2 linked regions of the Arabidopsis thaliana genome follow. The protein of the gene in region 1 purifies or fractionates together with the protein of each later gene. This does not show direct contact. Each region holds a gene or a part of one and is shown on either strand. Other genes may lie near its edges.

The links.
Region 2: the proteins of SR34a (region 1) and AT5G08565 fractionate together in Arabidopsis thaliana (co-fractionation; one large-scale study listed by BioGRID). This does not show direct contact.

What each region holds. Positions count from the first base shown.
Region 1 is NC_003074.8:18,329,591-18,335,951, forward strand, and holds SR34a (SER/ARG-rich protein 34A), read left to right. Parts: upstream 1-1,918; 5' UTR 1,919-2,122; exon of another isoform or gene 2,123-3,051; 5' UTR 3,052-3,077; coding exon 3,078-3,164; intron 3,165-3,283; coding exon 3,284-3,349; intron 3,350-3,427; coding exon 3,428-3,502; intron 3,503-3,656; coding exon 3,657-3,798; intron 3,799-3,881; coding exon 3,882-3,928; intron 3,929-4,012; coding exon 4,013-4,070; intron 4,071-4,206; coding exon 4,207-4,256; intron 4,257-4,339; coding exon 4,340-4,396; intron 4,397-4,626; coding exon 4,627-4,778; intron 4,779-4,867; coding exon 4,868-4,948; coding exon of another isoform or gene 4,949-5,027; exon of another isoform or gene 5,028-5,059; coding exon 5,060-5,126; intron 5,127-5,218; coding exon 5,219-5,239; 3' UTR 5,240-5,564; downstream 5,565-6,361. Other genes in the region: AT3G49420 (Got1/Sft2-like vescicle transport protein family), read left to right, coding at 265-295, 528-619, 720-800, 921-1,018, 1,101-1,182, 1,442-1,480; AT3G49440 (F-box associated ubiquitination effector family protein), read right to left, coding at 6,125-6,361. UniProt on the Arabidopsis thaliana protein: Probably involved in intron recognition and spliceosome assembly.
Region 2 is NC_003076.8:2,773,948-2,778,222, forward strand, and holds AT5G08565 (Transcription initiation Spt4-like protein), read left to right. Parts: upstream 1-1,950; 5' UTR 1,951-2,016; coding exon 2,017-2,106; intron 2,107-2,186; coding exon 2,187-2,278; intron 2,279-2,630; coding exon 2,631-2,686; intron 2,687-2,920; coding exon of another isoform or gene 2,921-2,976; coding exon 2,977-3,038; intron 3,039-3,156; coding exon 3,157-3,207; 3' UTR 3,208-3,527; downstream 3,528-4,275. UniProt on the Arabidopsis thaliana protein: May regulate transcription elongation by RNA polymerase II. May enhance transcriptional pausing at sites proximal to the promoter, which may in turn facilitate the assembly of an elongation competent RNA polymerase II complex.

The sequences.
Region 1 (6,361 bases):
GATTATACGTTTGATTCTGTATGTAGCATCTGTCTAGTCGACGTCAAATCGATATTATGTTTCCAAATATTGATTGGTTACCAAAACTGATACGAGAATATTGAATCTCTATGGGCTATGTATGTATATCAGAGTCATGGCTAAGCCATGGGCACATTTTGTAAACACTAATGTTGTAGTTTCAACTTTCAATGGTCTAATTGCTGAACTTCGACATGTTTTTACCATGGCAGCAAAAGGTAGAAGTAGCTGATTACAGGAACAATGATGTCCTTTGAAATGAATGACCGGAAAAGTAAGTTCACATTGTGAGTTCTATAAATATTTTCTGCTATTGGAAGACATACCTGTTACTTAGTTATACTTAATTCTTCTTTTGCTTATCACGTTCTTGAGTTAGTAGATCATTCAATGTCATGTTGTTGTTCGGAACCCCATTTAGTTTCAGTATATCTTATTACCAGGTTACGAAGTTACTCATGCTGTACTTGGATATACTTAAACGTTTCTTATGTGATTTGAAACAGAAATCGGGTTAGGCCTGACAGGATTTGGCGTATTCTTCTCGTTTTTGGGAATAGTCTTCGTCTTTGATAAGGGATTACTTGCCATGGGAAATGTAAGTATCTCATGTATCTTTGTTTCTATACTTTGACCACTATTATTGCATACACGTACAGAACTAGTATGAGAGCTTGTTTCTTTTCATATTTTCTCAGATTCTTTTCATCTCGGGGGTTAGTCTAACCATTGGCTTCAAGTCTACCATGCAGTTCTTCATGAAGCGTCAAAATTATAAGGTTTGTTTCTGTCTTTGTCTACATTATCAATAGCTTGGGCCAGTCTCTGCTGGATTTTTACAGATTTCTACTTAATGTCATCTATGTGTGTTCATTTGGCTTTATATGTTATCCACTCAGGGAACCATCTCTTTTGGCGTCGGTTTCTTCTTTGTTATCATCGGGTGGCCTATCTTGGGAATGATGTTGGAGACCTATGGCTTTTTCGTACTCTTCAGGTACTTTTGCCTATTTTCTTCTTCTTTACTGGTATTGCTTGAGGAAATGTAAACTGATACTAAAAACGTTTTGCTTTTGCAGTGGCTTCTGGCCTACCTTGGCAGTCTTTGCTCAGAAGATACCCGTTCTGGGTTGGATTATTCAGCAACCATATATTAGATCGGTATGTGTCCAATTGCAAACAACTATAGCAAACTTTGCATGAAATTCTTAGATCTCGAATACAACACATACAAAACTCATAATGACTCCCAGTTTTGCCTTTCCAAATTACAGTTGATAATTCTCTCTTTGTTTCTGATGATCTTGAGTTGCTAGGCCTTTTCTCAGTTTGGCTTAACTTTAATAGTAATTCTGTTGCATAGTCTGCCAATTGTTGGCTAATGCGATTACTTTACACTTTTTTTTTATGTGATGTGTAGTTCTTTGACAAGTACCGGGGCAAGCGAGTGCCGGTCTAGTCTTCCATCCCGAGCAGAGAGACGATTCACTGAGCTAGATGCAGCTGAACAGGCGATTAAAGTTTTTGGAAGAAGAAGTTTCGTGATCCTGTAGAAAACTAAAACCATAGGAGAAAGAAAATAGGAAGGAAAAGAACGTACAATTTGAAGCTGTGTGTCTATGTTTCAGGTGAAGTAGATGAATCTTCGTCCAGGTTGCAAATTGCAACAGAATGTTAAAAATGTAATGTTTTATTTTTGGGTTAGTTATAGGTTACACCTCAATTTTGGAAACTAATTAAAGAGAAACAATTGTTTCTATTCACAAAAACTTTTTGTAACCATTACGCATTACATAATTTTAATCATATTGTTATTAACTTAATGGTTCTATTTGACCAAAAACAAAAACTTAGAGGTTATTTGACAAACAGATTACTTAAAGAGGGACCGAAAAATAAAAACACAAAAGAACTGAGTGAATCAACTAAAGGGTAATTCCGGTATTTCAGGAAAGTTTTAAGGACGACCCCTACTAATGGATAAAGTAGAAACCCTAGTTTGAATTTTCACGGCCGACCTCTCTCTCTCATCTACTAAGCTCTCCTCCGAGTATTGTTGGCTTCAGACCAAATCTTCTCCGGCGCTGTAGCGTTTCCCCCGGTACGGATTCATTCACCTCTCTCTCTCTATCGCTCTCCCTCTCTCTATCTCTATCTATCTGTTGTTTTCTCTGAATTTGGTTTCCGTGTTCTTATGAATTCGATGGTTTGGTGTTTCAATTTCGTTAATTTCACTGATAATTGTTGGTCTTTTGGCTCTCTTGAGGTGAATATACTTCGCTATGGTCGTGGGGGTAGTTTCCTTGACTTCAATTAGCTTTTTTATGTCGAATGTTCTTGAGTTGTTTAAGGTGATTTTTGATTAAATTCAGAAGGTCTTATGTTTGTTAGAATCTGTCTTTTATTCATTGTCCTTACTGAGGAAATTTTTTTACTTGCATTGAAAAGAAACATAATTTACCAAGAGGTTCTATGTAACGATGATTTGTGGGTCGATCTGTATTTTAAATAGTCGTTAAAAGTAGAATTTTTGTTGTATGTTTGAAAGGAATAATGGTTTGAGTAAGGAAGAAGAACAAGGTAGATGCATGAGTCTATGTTACATGATGTCATGACACATGCTTTCTTTATGATAGATGGCAAGAGCTTGGAACATGAGCATTGCAATGGTTCATAGGGATATAGAGAGGGATTGGGGAGATCAATGTGGATATTGTTTTTATTATTAATGGAGATTCATGGGAACGATCTGGAGAAATATATATATTTCAATATTTTAAATAGCTTTTGGAGCATATTGGAGCAAATAAGCATTTGGAGCTTGTGGAGCACTGCTCTGACCCAGGATTGCTCTCACTTGGTTTGCTTCATATATATTTTGGTCTTACCATGTTTTCTTTTTCTTTTCTTATCATCGTCTCATTTTGATGCTGGGGCTATGTCGAAAGCTGTTTGAGTGGAGGTTCTTTGTCTATAGCAGTAAATTTTGATCCTTTATTTATTTCGTTTCCTTTTTATTCTCATGTGCAGTTTCCCCTTTTTAACCTTTGCAAACAATGAGTGGGCGATTTTCTCGGTCAATCTATGTTGGTAACTTGCCCGGTGACATTAGGGAACATGAGATTGAAGATATCTTTTACAAGGTCAGTTTTTGGTTATTTGTTTGATTCAGTTACGGGTCCTCTCTTGAATCGTTATCCCTATAAGACAGTGAAGATTCTTGAGCATCTTTTGTATTCATATTTAATGCTCTTGTTTGCAGTATGGCCGCATTGTCGATATTGAATTGAAGGTTCCACCTCGGCCTCCATGTTATTGCTTTGTTGAGGTAAGTGTATTCGCTTACATTACATGTTCCTAACCAACTTTAAATTTCGCTGAACCAAGCTCTGTTGAATGTTTGTAGTTTGAGCATTCTCGGGATGCTGAAGATGCCATCAAGGGCCGTGATGGCTATAATTTGGATGGCTGTCGCTTGAGGGTAATCAGTTACTTCCTTGCTATTTTTTCAGCAGACAATATGGGCTTATGCTTCACATATCCTTACAGCAGAGTCTAAACTTTTCTGGCTGTTTTACATTACCTTGTGATGTTTCTTTTTATTTTTCAATAGTTTCTAATCATTATGAATGCAGGTTGAGCTTGCACATGGTGGTCGAGGACAGTCTTCAAGTGATCGTCGTGGTGGCTACGGTGGTGGTGGCAGCGGCTATGGTGGTGGAGGTGGTGGTGGTGGATCAGCTCGGTTTGGCGTCTCACGACACTCTGAATTCCGAGGTTTGTGTTTCTTGCTAGAAGTTGGTATTATTAAAATTTGGTTTCACTTCACTTCTTCTGATTCTTGGATGGCTATTTTGCAGTTATTGTACGTGGGCTCCCATCATCTGCTTCATGGCAAGATTTGAAGGTCTGATGACACTTAATGTTTTGCTGCAACATTTTGGTTTCTACTCCCTAGTCTTGTTTTTCATATAAAATCCATTTTTTTCAGGATCATATGCGGAAAGCTGGTGATGTGTGCTTTGCTGAGGTGACTCGAGACAGTGATGGTACGTTAATTTACAGTTTCTGATGCATACTTACTTAGCAATATATTTACTTTTTCAGCTTTGAGCAGAGTTTTGTTTGGGATATTATACTTACGTTTTTCTCCCACAACATGACTATTTATAATAATATGATCAGGAACTTATGGTGTTGTCGACTACACCAATTATGATGACATGAAGTATGCAGTAAGTGAACTCTGTGCGTCTCTCTTACTGTATTGCATGCTATGGTTTGTATAATTACTGATGTTCAATAGTTGTGATTTCAGATAAGGAAACTTGATGACACAGAGTTCAGAAACCCCTGGGCTAGAGGTTTTATCCGGGTACCATTTCTCTATGCAGTCTCTTCTTTTTTCCCTCTTTGACCATAATTAACAGATATTAGTTATCTCTCAAGTCTCTCAACATTTTACTTCGTTTGATGCTTCATTCTCTATCTTCCCATTCGTAAAACATCTATGACTTTTGTAGTCTCAATTGGTTAGGCTAATTTAAAATCATGATCTCACAAGTTTGTATTCATCTTATGTCTGTGTTTTCTGCTCATATGCAGGTTAAGAAATATGAAAGCTCCCGATCAAGAAGCAGAAGCCCAAGCAGAAGCAGAAGCAGAAGCAGAAGTCGAAGTCGTAGCCGAGGCCGTGGTCGCAGCCATAGCCGCAGTCGCAGCCTTAGCAGGAGCAAGAGCCCAAGGAAGGATCTGAGGTACTACGTTTGTTATCACTGAACCTTTGTATATCTCCCATTTTCAATACCTAAAAATGGAGTTGTGTGTTTACCAATCTTTATTGCAGTAAATCACCAAGGCGATCCCTTTCCAGATCGATTTCAAAATCTAGATCGCCATCGCCCGACAAGAAGAAGAGTCCCCCCAGGCAAGTCTTCTGCCCTTCTTTTGTGTTCTTTCTCTCAACCATCATGATACTTTTATTCGTTCTTTTATTTCTCCTGTGATTATTGTGACATGTTGCTTTTTACCAATTCAGGGCAATGTCGAGATCAAAGTCCAGGTCCAGGTCCAGATCGAGGTCTCCGTCCAAATCTCCTCCCAAGGTATAGAACTAAGCTGCCTGCGTTTTAGCATCATTTTACCAAGTTATAGGCAAAACACCAAACAGACCAATCTAAAAAAATCTTTTTCTCAGGTTCGCGAAGGCAGTGTGTGATTTTGTTAAGCGGTGAAAATGGCCAAAAGAAAGAGTGCGAAAAATTCTCAAGTCAAGATCCATTCTCTGTGTTTTTTTTTTTGCTGTTTTCGGATAATTGACATTTTCTGCTGTTCTCTGCTTCTTTACTCACAAATGATCATCTTTATACTATTATGACCTGTTATGTTATGGATGTTTCCGTGACCATCACAATACCTCTGAGTTTTGTATTGTTAGTCCTGTTCTTGTTTAAACCCTATGAAGTCTTAGCGAACCTGGATCTCTCATCTAAATTATCAAATATTTAACTGATTTGTATGAAATGGGCATAATATTAAAGAAATCAAATTAAAGTTAAGATATTTGACATGGTTTATAGACGGTCAAATGAGTTGTTTACCTAACAAGGTTCTTCCACAAAGTCGACAAAATTTATATATTTGACATGATCTGTTTGTCGGCATCTTTTAGTATTCCATCACAAACAAAAGTTGAGAATTAGGATGAAGTGCGCATTTCCTTGCATAAGTAGGGATACAACTTCAACATCTTAGGTATAATGTTAAAACATTTTTGTACAAACTTTTAGCTAATATGTATCTTTACAAGAAATATCAGAAGAGAAAATATATCTATCTTAATACGTATTTTTGGATAAATAGTGGCCATATATATAAGGTCCCCAACTTAGAAACGAAACAAGATGTTATAAATTCTTATGTAGCCCGGACCGGCTAAGAGAAAAGTGGGATCATGTACCCATTTAAAAAAAAAGTTTATCTCTTATACTATATGTATAGATTTGGGCCTTTTGTATAATTTTTGAAAAATAGGGCTATAATTGCTTAAAGAAATCTGACTAAAAAATAGGACCCTATTCAAAAGCACCCTTTGCACACCCTCTCAGCCGGCCTTGGTAGCCATAATCGCTTCCATAAGCCTCACATCTTCTATATGGTCAGTAAATGTAAAAATATTCCGACCCTTAAAAGCTTCCATCCCTTGGATTTTGATTCTTGTAATAGTCTTCCTCTTCATATTGTAACAAAAAGTGTAGAAAGGATCATATAACTCGAGTGAGGTCAACACAATCTCACCGTTACGAGTCATCCTGACAATCACTAACCAGTAATTTTCAAC
Region 2 (4,275 bases), on another chromosome or scaffold:
ACATGAACTTTAGCCTTGAAATAAAGAATGGATTAACAAATTCCCATGTAGATCTAGTAGCAGGAGATAGTGACTATAGTAAGGAGATTAGCATTCAAACATCAAAAACAATTAGACAAGTGAATCAAACCCAATTGATCAAAACGACAAGTTAAATGCAATCGAAACAATCACCTCTGAATTGTTACACCGACGAAGCAAAAAAACAAAACAGTGAATCGAGATACGCACAATCATTTCAATCAAATTAGTCAGTAGCAAAACTACTCAATAAACACACAAAATTGACACAGTGCACCTACAAGAAGGATCCCCAAATAAGATTAGCAGTAACAAAAAAAACAAATCGTCAAAATCATCATCAAACTTAAATAGAAGAAGGATCACTTGGGGATGAAGATCAATTAACACGATCTAAGAAGGACAAAATCAAAAGGGAGAAAAATCCAATCTTACCAAATAAGAAGCAAAACCCAGATAAGGTTTGGCGATGGCAGAAGAAAGAGAAAGAGATAGTGATTAAGGAACAGCCCGGAAACAAAGGAGGGAAGGAAGACCGCTATAGAGATTTAGGAAGCGGTGAGGAGATGATAGAAAGAGAGAGAGAGAGCAAGTTCTGGAAAAGAGAAGCGTTAAAGAAGATGAAAAGGAGAGAGAGACTCAATAAGAAAGGCAAAACAAATATTATAAAAGAAGGCAATAGAAGAAGCAAAGGGCAGAGGCGTGGCTGATCACAGGCTACTCTCGATCTAATATATAGTCCCAACAAAATCTTATGCATTTTCCTTTACATTTACTCTATTTTCTTTTATCTTCACATTAATATTTCTGATACTTACTTAAAATACGTTAAAACGGTGTCGAATCAGCAGATCAAACGGAACAAGCGGAATAAATATAAGTTTTCGTTTATAGAAAACTAGTTTTGAAATGATTGTAGATAAACAAAACAGAAAAAAGTTAATTTCAATGATATCGGTAATGCTATTCTTCGAGGATTATTTGGTTGTGTTCAACAAGTAATTTAATCATATATATAGGCGGACTAGAGAAAGGAATGCTTTGAAAACAAATATTTGGTGCGGAAGGTATGTGATTTGGCAGAATTGTCTTGTGTTTTTAGATTGTGTTCAAATCTTATGTAACATAGGCCGCCTTTATACATCAATACGATGCCAAAGAAATGTCAAAGCAAATAATATATAGAAATCCAACTAAAAGCTTGGAAGAAACAAATATTAAGGGTTTCTTTTTAAAACCTTTATGCATTGTATTTGGTAGGTGAACTTTGAATGACAAAATATGTGACATGGTAAAAGATTTTTGATGGCGATACACGTTTGACGTTTACCTTAGTCCTTAAGCTGCATGTATTGGTTTAGGCTTTAGACGTTTAGTCTCGTGTTATCATACATATGTTATAATCCGATGCGTGGTGCAAAATCCGCATTAATTGACCGGAAATAGGAGAAAATGAGCTAGTAGGAAAAAAAAATGTTATCATCAGAAGTTTGTATATGAAAACCCGGAAAGAAAAAAGCTTCTCCAAAGACTGGTCCGCCACGTATGACGTATCGTTTGTGATTCCGTTGGTAGAATCGTAATGCAAAATTATCCAAACACGACAAAGACGATACACACGAATTTGCTTGAACAATAATAAACAAGGTTCTTTGAAGAAAAGAAAGTAATAAACTATGCACGGCACTAGGAGTAGAAATGATTGAAACCCTTTAACAAATTGAACTCATCTTGTTGCCGAAGTTATACAGATAACGTATGGAATATGAATGGGTTTGCGATTATTAGTTTATTGGACTTTCAGGCCCTTTTTAGAGAAAATTAGTTTCCTCCTCCCGAAATAGTCCTGCATTATGGACCACATTATGGGCCCATATTGAGGCCCACCTTAATGGTACTTATATACTATTTTGTACGGAACTGATTGATAGACATTAGACACGGAGACATTGTTGTCGTTCTTCGCAGACATTTCGATTTTGAAGACAAATCACAATGGGAGAAGCGCCTGCCCAGATTCCGACGAGTTTCGGCCACGAGCTTAGGGCTTGTCTTCGATGCCGCCTCGTCAAGACCTACGATCAGGTCTGGATTCTCTTGTCACTTGTGATTTGCGTGTTTCTTCTCTTGCGAATATTTTTTGCCTAATCTGGTTTCTCCAACAGTTTAGGGATTCTGGATGCGAGAACTGTCCTTTCTTCAAAATAGAAGACGATCATGAACGCATCGTCGATGTTACAACTCCCAACTTCAATGGGTATGGCTTAAATTCGAATCCTTACTTTGAAAATTTACATGGCACTGTTCATAAGTCTGTCTCTCGTACTTGTCGTTACATTGAAATTTCTGAACCTAGTCTATACTTATGATTAAATCGTATAGTCTATACTTATTGAGAAGACTTATTGTTGGTCGCTAATCTCTCGTTTTTTTGTTGAATGAGTCGTTGCAAATTGTGAAATCACTGTGGTGGATATGACCATAAAGTTTGCTGCTTTACGTTAAAATGAGTTAATAGTAACAGAGATGATGCTAGTGTTGATTATACTTGTCATTTGTTGATGTCACGTCCATGTAATTATGTATTGATATAATGAATGTTTTTGCAGTATAATCTCTATGATGGATCCACGCAGAAGTTGGGCAGCAAGATGGTTAAGAATTGGTATGTTTCAGCTCTGTTTCCTGATCATCCTCATTGTCTTTTAGAGTTTACTATACTGTGTAGCTTCTTCTTTCCGTTTCCTGTTATTCTTGTCTCACCATTATACTTTATAAATGGGGATATTAGTGCTGAATTTAACTGTGTTGTCTGCATCCATTTGAGCGGTAGCTGCATTCTGATTTGCTGTGTGTTTATGGCTTGATGACCTGATGTTGTATTCCCTAATATTGCCAGCTTTGTTTCAGACAGAAGAGAAATAAATCTAACACATTGCAATATCTTGTTTCCAGGGAAGTTTGCTCCTGGTTGCTACACTCTTGCTGTCTCAGAGGCACTCCCAGAGGAAATGCAGGTAAACATATTTACTTCTCTTAGAAACCTAAGAAGGGATTAATAAGCAAATCCTTAGCTCTGTTTTCGTATTGACTGTTCGTCTTTTTCACATGTATGTGGCGGAAATCCGCTGGCAGTTCATATGCCAACAAGCACGGGTGCAGTACGTTCCACCCAAACGTATTTGAAACCTTTTGCAGGTTGCAGCAAGTGTCTCCATATTAGCATCTCTGCAAGTCGTCAGTTTCAAGACAACTTAGTCCGATGGAGGTTATGAATGGAAGTAGTTAAGTTTTATGTACTTTGTTTCTGATTTCAACTAATATAGAGAGATTTGATCCTCTTATTGTTATCAAAAACTCTTATTTGATCCGGAAGATAGAGATAGATTACATTTTTTTTTTCAAGTATGGAATGGATTTCTTTTCCTGTGATATTCAGTACATTATTTGAATTACAAAATGAAGAAACTTTAAATTGAGCACCTAGCAGAAATGTGTGGTACCAATAATTCACAGAAAAAATGTCAACTACGCAGTTGATAGAAGAAGTGGCTCCTTAATCAGGCCAAGAGGGAAACAAGGAGAGATATTTATTGGTTTTTGGAATATGACCATTGAAATTCCCAAAGAACCGAAGAAAACTATGGGAAAATGTATAAAATGCCTGTCTTTATACCAAAAAAATATAAGACCCACAAATTCATGGATACAAAGTACAAACAAACAAATTATACACAAGAATCATCTTCCGATCCAAGGTATATTCTTCTGCTAGAGTAAATCATGGACGTAACATGCATAATTAACAATGGTTACTTAACAACAAGTAGTAATGAAAAATTGAAGACGTTCAGTCTATTTGGGCAAGAGGCAAATATTAATTTTCGTTACTATACGTTTATTTTCTTGGCAATTTAGTTTAATTTTGTTTAGGTCAAAGGCAATTTATTTTGTTATTAAAAAGATAAATTAGATTTTTTTAGAAAATAGCCTTTCTATATTAATTTTAAATTCGAGTTCACGTGGCGGTCGCTACCAAACTTCGCTAAACTTTAGTGCTTTACTCCAAAACCCAGAGTCCATCACACAAGTCCAAGCCCGAAAACAAGGGTTCTTGCTCCGACACGACAACAAATCCAGATTTTGAGCTTAGGTAAACTCCTAACTCCCCTTATACTCTCTTCTTATTCAATCTACCTTGTTTCTATGCCTTGAATCCAATTCCCAGACACTCTGGTTGCTTGTAATCTATGT